Oryctolagus cuniculus: one gene and its partners. The protein of the gene in region 3 interacts with the protein of the main gene of each other region in a biochemical or structural test. Links are inferred from orthologs where the notes say so. Each region holds a gene or a part of one and is shown on either strand. Other genes may lie near its edges.

The links. The genes of interacting proteins can lie anywhere in the genome.
Region 1: of the proteins of RNF168 (region 3) and H2AZ1, one has a biochemical effect on the other in vitro, tested with the Homo sapiens proteins (3 studies listed by BioGRID, with this or other methods). The link is inferred for Oryctolagus cuniculus from reciprocal best matches to the Homo sapiens genes RNF168 and H2AZ1.
Region 2: of the proteins of RNF168 (region 3) and H2AX, one has a biochemical effect on the other in vitro, tested with the Homo sapiens proteins (2 studies listed by BioGRID). The link is inferred for Oryctolagus cuniculus from reciprocal best matches to the Homo sapiens genes RNF168 and H2AX.

What each region holds. Positions count from the first base shown.
Region 1 is NC_091439.1:65,412,957-65,417,340, reverse strand, and holds H2AZ1 (histone H2A.Z), read right to left. Parts: upstream 2,895-4,384; 5' UTR 2,477-2,894; coding exon 2,474-2,476; intron 2,055-2,473; coding exon 1,977-2,054; intron 1,679-1,976; coding exon 1,565-1,678; intron 1,261-1,564; coding exon 1,131-1,260; intron 839-1,130; coding exon 777-838; 3' UTR 403-776; downstream 1-402. UniProt on the Homo sapiens protein: Variant histone H2A which replaces conventional H2A in a subset of nucleosomes. Nucleosomes wrap and compact DNA into chromatin, limiting DNA accessibility to the cellular machineries which require DNA as a template.
Region 2 is NC_091432.1:111,203,964-111,207,513, reverse strand, and holds H2AX (histone H2AX), read right to left. Parts: upstream 1,989-3,550; 5' UTR 1,901-1,988; coding exon 1,469-1,900; 3' UTR 934-1,468; downstream 1-933. Other genes in the region: HMBS (porphobilinogen deaminase), read left to right, coding at 100-186, 267-440; DPAGT1 (UDP-N-acetylglucosamine--dolichyl-phosphate N-acetylglucosaminephosphotransferase), read right to left, coding at 3,021-3,086, 3,170-3,325, 3,488-3,550. UniProt on the Homo sapiens protein: Variant histone H2A which replaces conventional H2A in a subset of nucleosomes. Nucleosomes wrap and compact DNA into chromatin, limiting DNA accessibility to the cellular machineries which require DNA as a template.
Region 3 is NC_091435.1:83,028,017-83,032,400, reverse strand, and holds the start of RNF168 (E3 ubiquitin-protein ligase RNF168), read left to right. Parts: upstream 1-1,594; 5' UTR 1,595-1,779; intron 1,780-1,907; exon of another isoform or gene 1,908-2,030; intron 2,031-2,117; 5' UTR 2,118-2,154; coding exon 2,155-2,455; intron 2,456-4,384. UniProt on the Homo sapiens protein: E3 ubiquitin-protein ligase required for accumulation of repair proteins to sites of DNA damage. Acts with UBE2N/UBC13 to amplify the RNF8-dependent histone ubiquitination.

The DNA.
Region 1 (4,384 bases), on a different chromosome or scaffold from region 3:
TGTCAAAGAAATCTTTCATGAAATGGGAAGAGTTCATCCTCACGCATGTCAGAGCGCCTGGCACCCAAAGCACAGTGACACCTTCCAAATCATTCTGTGCAGGTGCAAGCCCACCAAGGCGGCCGCGCGCCAGAGCAGTGCTGTCACTGCGGCACAGCCAGGGTGAACGCTCAGCTCACTTGGTCCCTGGTCCCAGGAAACCCTAACCATCTCCAGCTCCTGCAGAACTTCTGAGAAATTCATAGCACATTATGGTGTAACACTACCTTGTACCCGGTATCTGACCTTTGTCGATCTACAGGTTAACAGTTTAATTTCTACAGAAGAAATGTGCCTAGTTACTGCTGGACCACAGTCAAAACAAGTTTCCATTACAAGCAAGCAAATTTAAAACACAACTAGTTTGGGAGATGACCTTTATTGAGCTTATCCACCTAAGTGGAAATAATGTCTGTACAAAACCAAATGTTTGTTACTATAACTTCTGCATCACAATTAAAATCCAAACAGTTTTTTAAAAACAGTCAACTCAATCAAAACCCACTACTTCAGAATCAATAGCTTCTTTGAAGCCACAGTAACACTTAAATATGGTTAAGACTTGAATGCAGAAATTTGGTTGGTTGGAAAGCTAATTAAACTTCCAACTTGCTCAAATAGAATTACAAAAAGGCAAAATTGTGTTTTTCACAGAGATACAGTCCACTGGAATCACCAACACTGGACAGTTGTTAGAGTATTTAGAGTCCTGAGATAACAAGGAATCCAGGCATCCTTTAGACAGTCTTCTGTTGTCCTTTCTTCCCAATCAGAGACTTGTGGATGTGTGGAATGACACCTAGGAGAGTGACAGATAAATTCTACTTTTAATGTAAGTACTTTCAAAACCACACAGTACTTTGAAACCAAGGCATTTTACGCTTCAACGTGCAAGATCTTTCAAAAAAATGTGAAGCTCAAAATACCAAAAACCCATTGAGTTGTTTACATAAACCAAATTTCATGACCCAGCCATACTGCATCAATGAAAACATTCTCAAATGCCCTCTGCTAGACTAAAATCTAATAGGAGTTAGAAGCCAAGGGTTTCTGTCCTCCGAATAAGGAAGAAAACCAACTTTATTACATACCACCACCAGCAATTGTAGCCTTGATGAGCGAGTCCAATTCTTCATCTCCACGAATAGCAAGTTGCAAATGACGAGGGGTAATGCGCTTTACCTTTAAATCTTTTGATGCATTTCCTGCCAGTTCAAGTACCTACAAGGCAGACGCTCATCAATCGCCTTTGACCAAGGTGCAAGGGCAGAATCAAAGCTTAAGGAACAGGAATCTGCCAGGTGTTCCCCCCTATCCAGGGGACACGCAATTACTGCCAGGAGCAGCCAACTCCTCCGGCTCAGGAGGCTCCCTTCCTGGACACCGGCTCCCTCTAGCGTCCTCCCGGGCTTCTCGCCGCGTCTCGGGCCTGGAGTCTTCTTGCATCACTTTCCTCCTTCCCTCCGGCCGCCTCCCCCGCCCCCCCCCCCAGCCCTGCCTCGATGATAGGCGTCCGCTCAGTTACCTCTGCGGTGAGGTACTCCAGGATGGCAGCGCTGTACACGGCGGCAGTCGCGCCCACACGTCCGTGGCTGGTCGTCCTAGATTTCAGGTGTCGGTGAATGCGGCCCACCGGGAACTTAAGCACACACAAACAAGAAACGCATAAAGACAGGGAGCCAGGGCTGGCGGGATCGCACGCGCGCCAACGCAAGGGGCCCGGACGCTGGTGCAGCCAGGCACCCTAGCATCCACACACGTGATCGCCGCCCCCCCCAACCTTATTTATCGTGTGGGCAGCCCCCAAGTCGCGACACCGCATCCCCAACGCGAAGACGAAACGCCCATCTAGGGCGATGATAAACAAGAAAGGGGGGTGGGAGGGGGTGTGCAAAGAAAAACGCCACGGTTCGCAGACTGCACGAACAACTACTGACCTGCAAGCCGGCTCTCTGCGAGCGGGAAACCGCCTTTGTCTTGGCCTTTCCGGAGTCCTTCCCAGCCTTACCGCCAGCCTGCGGCGCGCACACGCCCGCGAGCGGAGGAGGATCGGAGAATATAGAATTACCAGGGCGGCGCGCCCCTCCCCCACCGCGGCGCGTCCCCGCGCCCCGCCGGGGTCTCCGGCCCGCCACGCGCCGCAGGGGCGACCCCGCCCGCCGGCCCCCGCCGCGCGCCCGCCGCGGCCGCGCGCCTCCGCCCGCCCGCCCGCCGGCCCCCAGAGGCGCCGCGCGCGCCACCCAACCGTCGCCGCCCGCCGCGACAGCCGAGGCTGCTCCGCTCGCAGCCGACACGCCACCTCCCCCCCGCTCGTGTAAATCCCGTCTCCGCACGTCCCCAACCGTCGCCACTTCACCCTCATCCCCGTGGGTAGCGGGTTTCTCTCCCGCCGGCAAAATCCCGCGGAGTTACCGAGCGCCCCTGCGAACTTTACCATTTCGAATTCTGCGGAAGCTCAAACAAGCAAGGCAGAGAAAGGGCTAGTCTGACACACAGCGCGATCCCACCACCTACTCCTCCGTCGCACCGCGATTCAAACTGCGCTGTCTCCCGCCTTCCCCGCTGCCTTTATACTGCAGAATGTTCCCTCATCCGGGAACTCGGATTGCTCATCCCACCAATGGCTGCCGCCCGCCCTCGGGACGCGTCCTTGAGGCCTCAGCCAATGAGAAAACGAAGAACAGGGCGGAGAGGCGGGCGCTTCCAAGCTCGAGCCGCGGTTGGCGCGTGGGGAGGAGGTGGGGGAGGGCGGAGGGATGGGAACGGGGGAGAAGAAGGGCATAGCAGCGGGAGGGAAGAAACAGAACGAGGTGCGCAGCGCGAGCGAAGAAACCAGCAGGCTCAGTCACGTGTCTGGGAGGAGGAGCTGAGAGGCTCAGGGGAGGGGCGTGGGACAGCGCCCCCCGCCGGTCCCTTAGCGGGATTGCAGAGGCCACGTGAAGTCTCCTCGGGGTCTAGCGCGGCCCCCACCCCTAACAGCACCGCCTGGGTTCTCGCCGCCCGGAATCGGCTCCCCTGCAGCCTTCTTCCGGGGCCCCGGGCACCCATTCGCCTGCCGCCCTCCCAGCCCCTGGCGGCTGCGCTCGTCTGACAGGTGGCGCGACCGGGTCGGCCAGGACTCGGCCGTTTCCTCCCTCTGAGCTGGTTCCCAGCCGCCGGCGGATCCCACTTGAATTTCAGCGGAGTCCTCTCCTCCTCTTTCCCCCACCACTTTATGAAGACACCCCCGCACACACGCACGCACACACACGAGGTGGTTCTGTGACAACAGTCGGCGGAGCCGAGTTACCTCGCTGGGCACAAAAGACCTTTTTGTTCACGCGTGGGGAGCTTGGCGTGAGCTGGTATTTCTTTAGTCAAACCGTATTTTTCTGGTGTCTACAGGTCGGTGGGTTGTACCCACAGGCCGGTGTCTAGAGTTGATTTAGTGAAATCTCAGAGCTATTATGTGTCAACTTTTCTACACTAAATATTTCGCTGCGTGACAAATGTTCGGTAAATGTCAGTGGGGTAACTAACGTGATTCACAGGCAGTTACAGATGGTCCATGTAATCAATTGCAAATGGTGGGCTTAAAAAATAGTACTGTACACACAGTGCTATAATAATGCCAGCTACTTAGTCTTCCAACTAATAGATTAATAACACCTGTGCACATCTCCAGCTGTTTGGGAATATAATGTTACATGTTCAACAACTGAACAGTTGCAACTTGAAGTATTTGAAACATACATTCTAACTTTAGGTTTCAAGGTTTCAATTTGAAAGTTTTTTGTTTTTTTTTGGGGGGGGGATCAAAGGACATTCCTGTTTCTGGGATATAAATTCTAGTCTATCTTTTCATTATTCTCCTTGGAACTGAGGAGTCCTTGTGATGTCATCAATAGCAAGAGTTCATCAGATCTCCAACTAAATTGATAAGATGGCGATAAAAAGCTGTGAAACTCAATGTAATAGTTAACCTTGTCGCCAGTGAGGCTTCACTCAGAAACCAATATTAATGCCTTCTCCGATTTAGATAATACTCTCTCTGGGATGAAGCCCAACTGAAGAGAAATCTCTGTTGCCTCTTTGGATCGTGTTTGAGAGAATGAATGGATTCGGGGCAGGCAGACGTGAATTCTTCTGCTCTGCGGCCTCCTCACTGTGTCATCTGGGCGACCAAGCTTTGGGGGCTTCAGGTTCTTCTGTGGAAAGGTTATATGCCACCTATTTTCACAACCTGGTTGCAAGATTAAAGAAGGTATACACTGTAGAGGATAGTAGTGGACACACAGTAAGCACTCAGTAACTCCTGTTATCTTCTACACTAGCCACTGGAGAACAAAGAAATAAAGTATGTTTA
Region 2 (3,550 bases), on a different chromosome or scaffold from region 3:
AGGGACCCTGAGGACGGGGAGGTAGCATAGTGGCATCCCCGTGCACCCGTCTCTAAGGAGTCCCTCCGACGAGGCTGAGACAACCGTTTTCTTAACCAGCTGTACATGACTGGAGGAGTCTGGAGTCTGGATGGCTCCGACACAATGCAAGAGACCATGCAGGCCAGCATCCAGGTCCCTGCCCAGGTACAAAGCCAGAGGGTGAGAGGGAGGAGTGAGCAGTGCGACTTCCCTGTCCCCACTAAGTCCCACTCCCTTCTGTCCAGCATGAAGATGGCCCGGAGGATGACCCCCAGCTGGTAGGCATTACTGCCCGGAACATTCCACGAGGACCCCAGTTGGCCGCTGAGAACCTGGGCATCAGCCTGGCCAATCTGTTACTGAACAAAGGAGCCAAGAACATTTTGGACGTTGCACGCCAGCTGAATGACGCCCACTAAGCGGCCGTGGGCACAGGTGCCTGCCTGGGCTGCCGCTCCCCGGGGAGGACGTCGGCCGAGTGCCCTGTTCTCACTGGGAAGTGGTCACTCCAGGAGGAACTGCGGGGTCCCTGACCGCCGGGGACTCGCCTCACCTAGGGGCCTTGCCTCCTGCTGCGTGGGGGCCTCATCTCTAGAGAACACAATGCAAGCCACAGCCTTTGAATGTAACCAGCCCCGGGAATAAACCAGCTGAGGGCGGCTCTCCGGTTGTCTCGTGGTGCGGTCGGTGGAGACGCAAACAGGCACAAACCCCTTTGACCCTTCCCCCCGAATTCTGGAACACCGCGTTCCTGCCGCAGTAGTTCTGCCCGACACGGTCCCCGGATACCGCGGAGAGCCCCCCACACACCTTAGAGCCCCCCGGCTCCTGCCTCACCCGGTCCCGGCACAGCCTTTCCCGTTAGCTGAACCCCCGCCCCGCCCCCTCAGGCAAGTACACGGAAGCGCTTCATTTAAAAAACCAAATCCTTTAATAAACAAAATGAGTCCATCCGAAACTCCCAGTCTCTGGTTCTCCGACGAGTTAGCTGCAAAGTCCCAATCAAGCCACCGGAGGCCGTCCGGACGGGGCTGGTCTGAGCGCGCGGGCCGCGCCGCCGCCGCCCGGCAGTCCTCCGGGCAGTCCCCCGCCCCGCCGGGGCGAACGGAGCCGGGCTGTGCGGCCGCCAACGACGAGAGGGGCAGCGCGTCTCCCGCCGAGGCCTGGAAGCCGCAGACGGGTGTCCCAGTCCTGGGCTGCGGCCGCCGAGGGCCTCACCTTCAGGGCTGCCCGCTCGGCCCCGCAGGCCGTCTTCCGCAGGCGCCGCGGCCGCCCCGCAGCCCCGCAGCGTGGGGCGGCTGAGTCACGAGCCCGGCCCGAGGCGCGTGCAGGTGCGCGGCGCGGGGGAGGGGCAGCGGCCGTGGCTCAGCTCTTTCCGTGAGAGCGGTGGTGGCCCTTAAAAGGGCCTTTGTGGTGGCGCGGGGCGGGCGGCCGCGGCGCGGGCCCCTCAGTACTCCTGCGAGGCCTGCGTGGCCTTCTTGCCGCCCGAAGGCGCCTTCGGCCCCACGGTGGCGCTGGTCTTCTTGGGCAGCAGCACGGCCTGGATGTTGGGCAGGACGCCTCCCTGGGCGATCGTCACGCCGCCCAGCAGCTTGTTGAGCTCCTCGTCGTTGCGGATGGCCAGCTGCAGGTGGCGGGGGATGATGCGCGTCTTCTTGTTGTCGCGCGCCGCGTTGCCCGCCAGCTCCAGGATCTCGGCCGTCAGGTACTCGAGCACGGCCGCCAGGTACACCGGGGCGCCGGCGCCCACGCGCTCGGCGTAGTGGCCCTTCCGCAGCAGCCGGTGCACGCGGCCCACCGGGAACTGCAGGCCGGCGCGCGAAGAGCGCGACTTGGCCTTGGCGCGGGCCTTGCCGCCGGTCTTGCCGCGGCCGGACATGGTGCGCGAGGTAGAACGGCACGAAGCGACGCCCGGACGGAAGCCCCCAACAGCCAACCGCCGCAGTCCAACTGCCGGCGCGCGCGCGGCGGGGCCGCCCTTATATGCCCCTAGGGCACACCCCCTGCGCTCTCCTGATTGGCTCTTTTTTCTAGTACCCGCCTCCGGTTGGCTGAGGTTAACCCTTCGGGGACGCGCCTCGGCTGAGGGAGCGCGCCCGCCGATTGGTCGAATTTGAAAACCTTTTGCCCGGGTAAGAAGGTGAGGAAGCGTGCGGGCCGGCTGACAGGCAGCCACTCCGGACGCGGCCAATCCGCGCAAAGCGCGCGAGATTTAAACGTGGCAGGCGGAGACTAGAACCGGAAGACGAAAGGGGTGGAGCCAGACCCCGTGCTGGCCTGGGGTTTTTAAAGGAAAGGACTAGATTCTGCTACCTCAGCTTTCCCATCTAAGTCTGGGGGCGCCCTACTCCCGCCCCCTCCGAATAGGCCGAAGGAGAGTGCAAAAAGGGACGATCCCACGTCGGAAGACAGGCCACTCCCACCTTAAGGCCCCCTGTGCCGCCGGGAGCTTTCCTGTCAGGTCTCAGTTGTGTTCTCGCTGGGAAGGGTCTGAAAGAGCAGCCACAGGCACAGGCCTCCGCTTGGAGGTCCTCTCCCCGCGCCCTTCCCTGTTTTCCTAAAATGCCCCCATAGGAAATATACGTACAGAAACAAGAAAAAAGACCCTTTATTGTCACTGACGGGAGCGTCGGGTGCCCCGTCTGCCTTTACTAATCAGAATACTTCATTTAGAGTCGAGAGTCAAGCCCCCTTCCAGCCCGTGTCCCTTCCCTAGCCCAGGTTCTGCCCCAAGGCCCAGCACATCCCTTGAGCTGCAGGACCCTGAGAGTCGAGTTGTGGGTAACCGTCCAAAATCCGCTGCAGCCCAGAGATGCGAGGGCGGGAGAGCGGCCAGCTGAGGTGGGGAGCCACAGGTGAAGTCTCAGTGGCCTTCGCCAGAGGGCAAGAAAGGCCCCGGATGTCCATGATCACAGGGGAAGGGGAAGCAGCCTTGGTCCAGACAGGGGTCAGGGCAGGACCCCTGGAGACTCTGAGGTGAGGGCCAACACCCAGGGCACTCAGACATCATAGAAGAGCCGGACAAGCTGGTATCGGATGGAGAAGGTGAGAGCGCTGCCCACGACCTGCAAGAGAAATGGACTGGCGTGAGGTCCGTCGAGAAAGAGCCACAAGGAAGTACAAACGCCATCCCCATGCCCGACCTCACCTGCAGCAGCAGCAGGAGCAAGGTGAGGTTCCGCTCATGGATGGGCCCGCAGACCTTAAGCAGCAGGTTGATGAGGGTCAAGTTGTTACACTCGGTGAAGTGGCCGTCCTCGCTCTCGCTCTGGCGCACCGCCACCAGCCGGAGCCTCTCTGCTACCTGCGGGGACCAGAGGGAGAACCGCAGCTCCTATGTGTGGTCCGGGAACAGGAGTCTGCTTAATGCCTCCGAGCTCCCCTGGGATCTGATGCAGGTCTAGGCTCCCGGATCCCCAAGTTCAGGATGGCGGCCTAGGGCCTTACCTCCTTGTTACCTTGTTACCTTTAAAATAAAGGTGCCCAAGAAAGAGAGGCTCTTGGTCTTGAACTTGGAATAGCTCATCTC
Region 3 (4,384 bases):
AGGGAGAAATCTGCCCCCAGATACTTCCAGCATGTGTCATCCAGGCCTCCTATCAGCTACCTGGAAACCAGCACTTGCATACTTGCATTGTTCAGAAGGGACTGGGTAAGGGGTTGGGGAGGGTAGGAAGGCAGAGACCCTAGGAATGCACCTGGTCAGTTCCGCACAGAGCAAGTGATTGACAGTTCAGAAAGCAAGCAAAGCCAAGGAAATCTGAGGAAGCACGTAAAAATATATCCCTCACACAAGTCAGAAACTCCTAAAGATAAAGCAAAATGCAGGCACTAAGTAAGTTACGATCAAAACCATTATTACTAGGAACTGTACATGATTGGATGAATTTAAAAGAAGGGAATCCCTGTGTGATGGGGGAGGTCATAGTTGCATGCTTTCAGAGTAATGGAAATGTCCATGGGAAAAGCAGGTTGTGGACACATTAGGAAGTGGAATTTCAGGCTAAGAGACTGTAGATAGCTGGGTGATAACCTCAAGTTCCTGAACCCAGTTAAAACAAAAGTGCTGGGGCTGGTGGGTGATGCTCTCTACCTGCCACACTGTGAACCAGCATCTCATACATGGGGACCAGTTCCATTCCTGGCTGCTCCACTTCTGCCAGCCCTCTGCTAATGTGCTGGGGAAAGCAGCGGAAGTGCACCCATGGGGGAGACCCGAATAAAGCTCCTGGTTCCTGGCTCAGCGTCTGCCTGGCCCAGTCCTGGCTGTTGGGGCCATTTGGGGAGTGCCTCCTTTCTCTAGGTAACTCTGCCTTTCAAATAAGTAAGTAAATCTTTATTTTTTTTTAAAGAGTTTTATTTATTTCAGAGGTAGTTACAGTGAGAGGGTGACAGAAAGGTCTTCTGTCCGCTGGTTCACTCCCCAAATGCCTGCAACGGCAGGAGCTGCACTGATGCGAAGCCAGGAGCCAGAAGCTTCTTCCTGGTCTCCCACGCGGGTGCAGGGGCCCAAGGACTTGGGCCATCCTCCACTGCTTTCCCAGACCATAGCAGAGAGCTGGATGGAAGCGGAGCATCCGGGACTTGAACTGCGTCCATATGGGATGCCGGCGCCACAGGGCGGAGGCTTAACTTACTATGCCACGGGACCAGCCCCGAAATTTTGTTTCTTGACAATAACTTTGGCAAGCAACCCTTAGATCACTCATTAATAGAAACAAAAAGGTACTCTTGTACTGCGGGCAGAATTATAAAAATTAATGTTCGAGTCTTTAATTCGTTCTGAGGCTTCACGTTTCTGTCCACACGCCAGTCTTGAGGCACTCAAGGATATCTGCAGCCTCTGGGGGCAGAAAGCCAAGGAAAGATCTGGATCTACCGCAGCAGAACCGCGGGAACGGGGACGGCGGGAATGGGTGGGGCCTTCTCCTGGGAAGGCGGGGCAGGCCGGGATTGGGCGGCGCCAGCGCGCGCGCGCGCGGCGGCCTCGGAAGTCCCGCCTCGCCGAATGTTCGCTGTTGTGTTTCTGGACGGTTCGGCGGATCGGAAGTGCCATTTTGGCGGCAGTTGTGACGTCACTGGTCTGTGTACGGTTGCTACGGGACCCCGCCACGAGTAGCCCGAAGAGAGGGGCGGAGCGCGGAATCCTAGGAATCTGCGCGGGACACCCAAAGGCTCGAACTGGGGGCTCGCGGCGGCCCTCACGGCCCCGGGAAGACGGGGGCCCTGCGCGGAGCTCGACGTCCGGCGGAAGCAGTGCTCTTCCCGGATCCCGCAGCGGCCCCGGCACTGGGGGCCCCGGAGCCAAGAGGCGCATCCCGCCGAGGTAAAGCGGAAGCAGAGGACGCGGGCCCACTCCACGCCGCGCCGGGCGCCCGCACGCCCGCACGCCCGACGCCGCGCGCCGCCGCGGCCGCGCTGTTCAACTGCCGCGTCAGACGGAAATGTTCGTGTGTTCTCTTGGGGCATGTTCGTCTTCCCGGGTATTGCTCTTTACCCGCGCCTCGGAGCGCCTGCCTGCTCCCAGACGTGTTGGATGCTCCCCGTCTCTGAATTTTTGGCACGCTGCTGAGCTTCGTATGTAAACGCGAAACTTAAATTGGTGCCCGGTGGTTGACCGAAAATACGATCCTTTTTTTTTTTTTTTTTTTTTTTTTCTGGCAGGTGTTCATGTTGACTAGGCCTTGTTAGCAATACTAAAATGGCTGTGCCCCAAGACAACATCCCTTCCCTGTCGGAGTGCCGGTGCGGGATCTGCGTGGACATCCTGATCGAGCCGGTGACCCTCCCTTGCAACCACACGCTCTGTAATCCATGCTTCCAGTCCACTGTCGAAAAGGCGAATTTATGCTGTCCCTTCTGTCGCCGCCGGGTCTCCTCGTGGGCTCGCTACCATACCCGAAGAAAGACTCTTGTCAATATGAAACTGTGGGAGATGATTCAGAAACACTACCCGAGGGAATGCAAGCTCAGAGCTTCGGGGCAAGAATCCGGGGATCTCGGTGAGTGAAGCCCAGCGTGTTGAAGACGCAGGAGTGTGTGTTCAAGTTACTCTTGGAGGCTTTGCGTTTCATGGGCTCCAGAATGTCACAGTCATGGGCATGATTGTGGCTGTTGTTACAGTGCCCGAGCTTGTGCCTAAATATTGAGGGGAGCAGTGGTGGAAGTGCGCAGAGGGAACCGCTGATTCCTGTGTTAGTATTCTTATTACATTCACTTTGTCTGTCTCTTGACTGCCTCGTCTGTACGTCCCCATCATTTCTTTTACTATTCTTTTTAGCATGCAACGACCTAAAATAGCTCTGTGTTACCTGTTCCGTCCATTTCGGTCATTTTGAGTGTGAGCTTGGGAGCCCCACGCTGCACCCCTGACTCTGCTTGTCTCTGCTCCTGTGGGCAGTGAGCCATGTCGTGTTTCCTGTCTAAGCTTTGGATGTGCTGTTCTGCTCTGGTGTGCCTACCCTTTGATTGTTTTATTGTAGTTTAAACAGATAACAGAATTTGCTATTTTTAAACAATACTCACTTTCTTAAAAAACGGTTTTCCTGGCATATTTCACATACCGTTCACCCATTTAAAGTGTGTAATGTGATGGGGTTTTGGTATGCTGCATTATTAATTTATTTAAAAGTTGTAAAATATATGCAACAAATTTTGCCATTTTAAGTGTACAGTTCAATGGCATTAATTATATTCACAATGTATTATCTGGTTTTAAAATTTTCATTACTACAAGTAAACCCTTTCACCATTAATTAATGAGTTCTTCCCCAAGATCTAAGTTACCCTTATTCTAGTTTCTGTCTCTGAATTTGCATATTCTAGATATTTCATATTAGTGCAATCATGCAATATCTTCTGTGTCTGGCTTATTTCACTTAGCATAGCATGTCTGAAGTGCATGCACACTGTAGCATTTATCAGTTACTTCATTTTTGATTAATATTTTTCTGATATATGCTACATTTTGTTTATCTGTTCATTCATTGGTGGACATTTGGAATTTTTCTACCTTTTAGATATTAGAATGCTACTGATACGAACATTTGGTACAAATATTCGTTTGAATATTTGTTTTCAGTTTTTTAGTGTCTACAGTCATACCTCTGCATCCAAGGGGTTCTACTTTTAGTATCTTGAGGATGCTAAAATTCGTGGATGCTTAAGTCTCTTGTATAAAGTGGCAGTGTATTTGCATATATAATCCATATACATGCTTCGACATACTTTAAATCATCTCTAGATTATATTTAATACCTAATATAATATAAACACTATACCAATAGTTGTATTGCTCAGGGAATATTGATAAGAAAAAGTCTGTACATTATTTTTTCTTGAATGTTTTCAATGATTGATCCCATGGATGCAGAGCTTGCAGCTACAGAGGCTGCCTGTAAGCTAGGTGTGGCATTGCTGGATCGTACAGTAATTCTATAGTTAGCTTTTGGAGAAGTGCCAGCGTTTTTGACAGTGGCTATGCTGTTGTACATTCCCACTGACTATGTGCAGGATGTCCAGTTTCTTTACATCCTCACCAGTACTTGTTATTTTCCATGTTGGTGTTGTTTTTTAATAGCCATCCTGGTAAATGTGAGGAGGTATCTTACTATGTGTTTTCTAGAATTATGATAAACATAACAGAATTTACCATTTTTAATTATATAGGTCAGTGGCATTACATACATTCACACTCGGTGCGTTCATTGGTACCATCCAGCTCCAGAGTTTTTAATCTTCCCAAACTGAAACCCCACTTTCAGTAAACATTAACTCCTCATTTCCCCTAGCACCCATCATTCTACTTCCTGTCTTTATGACATAATTTCACTGTTCTCAGTTCTTTATCTAAGTGGAATTATGATACATATTTGTCCATTTATTTCTGGCTTATTTCACTTAGCATGTCTTCAGTGTTTATCCATGTGTAG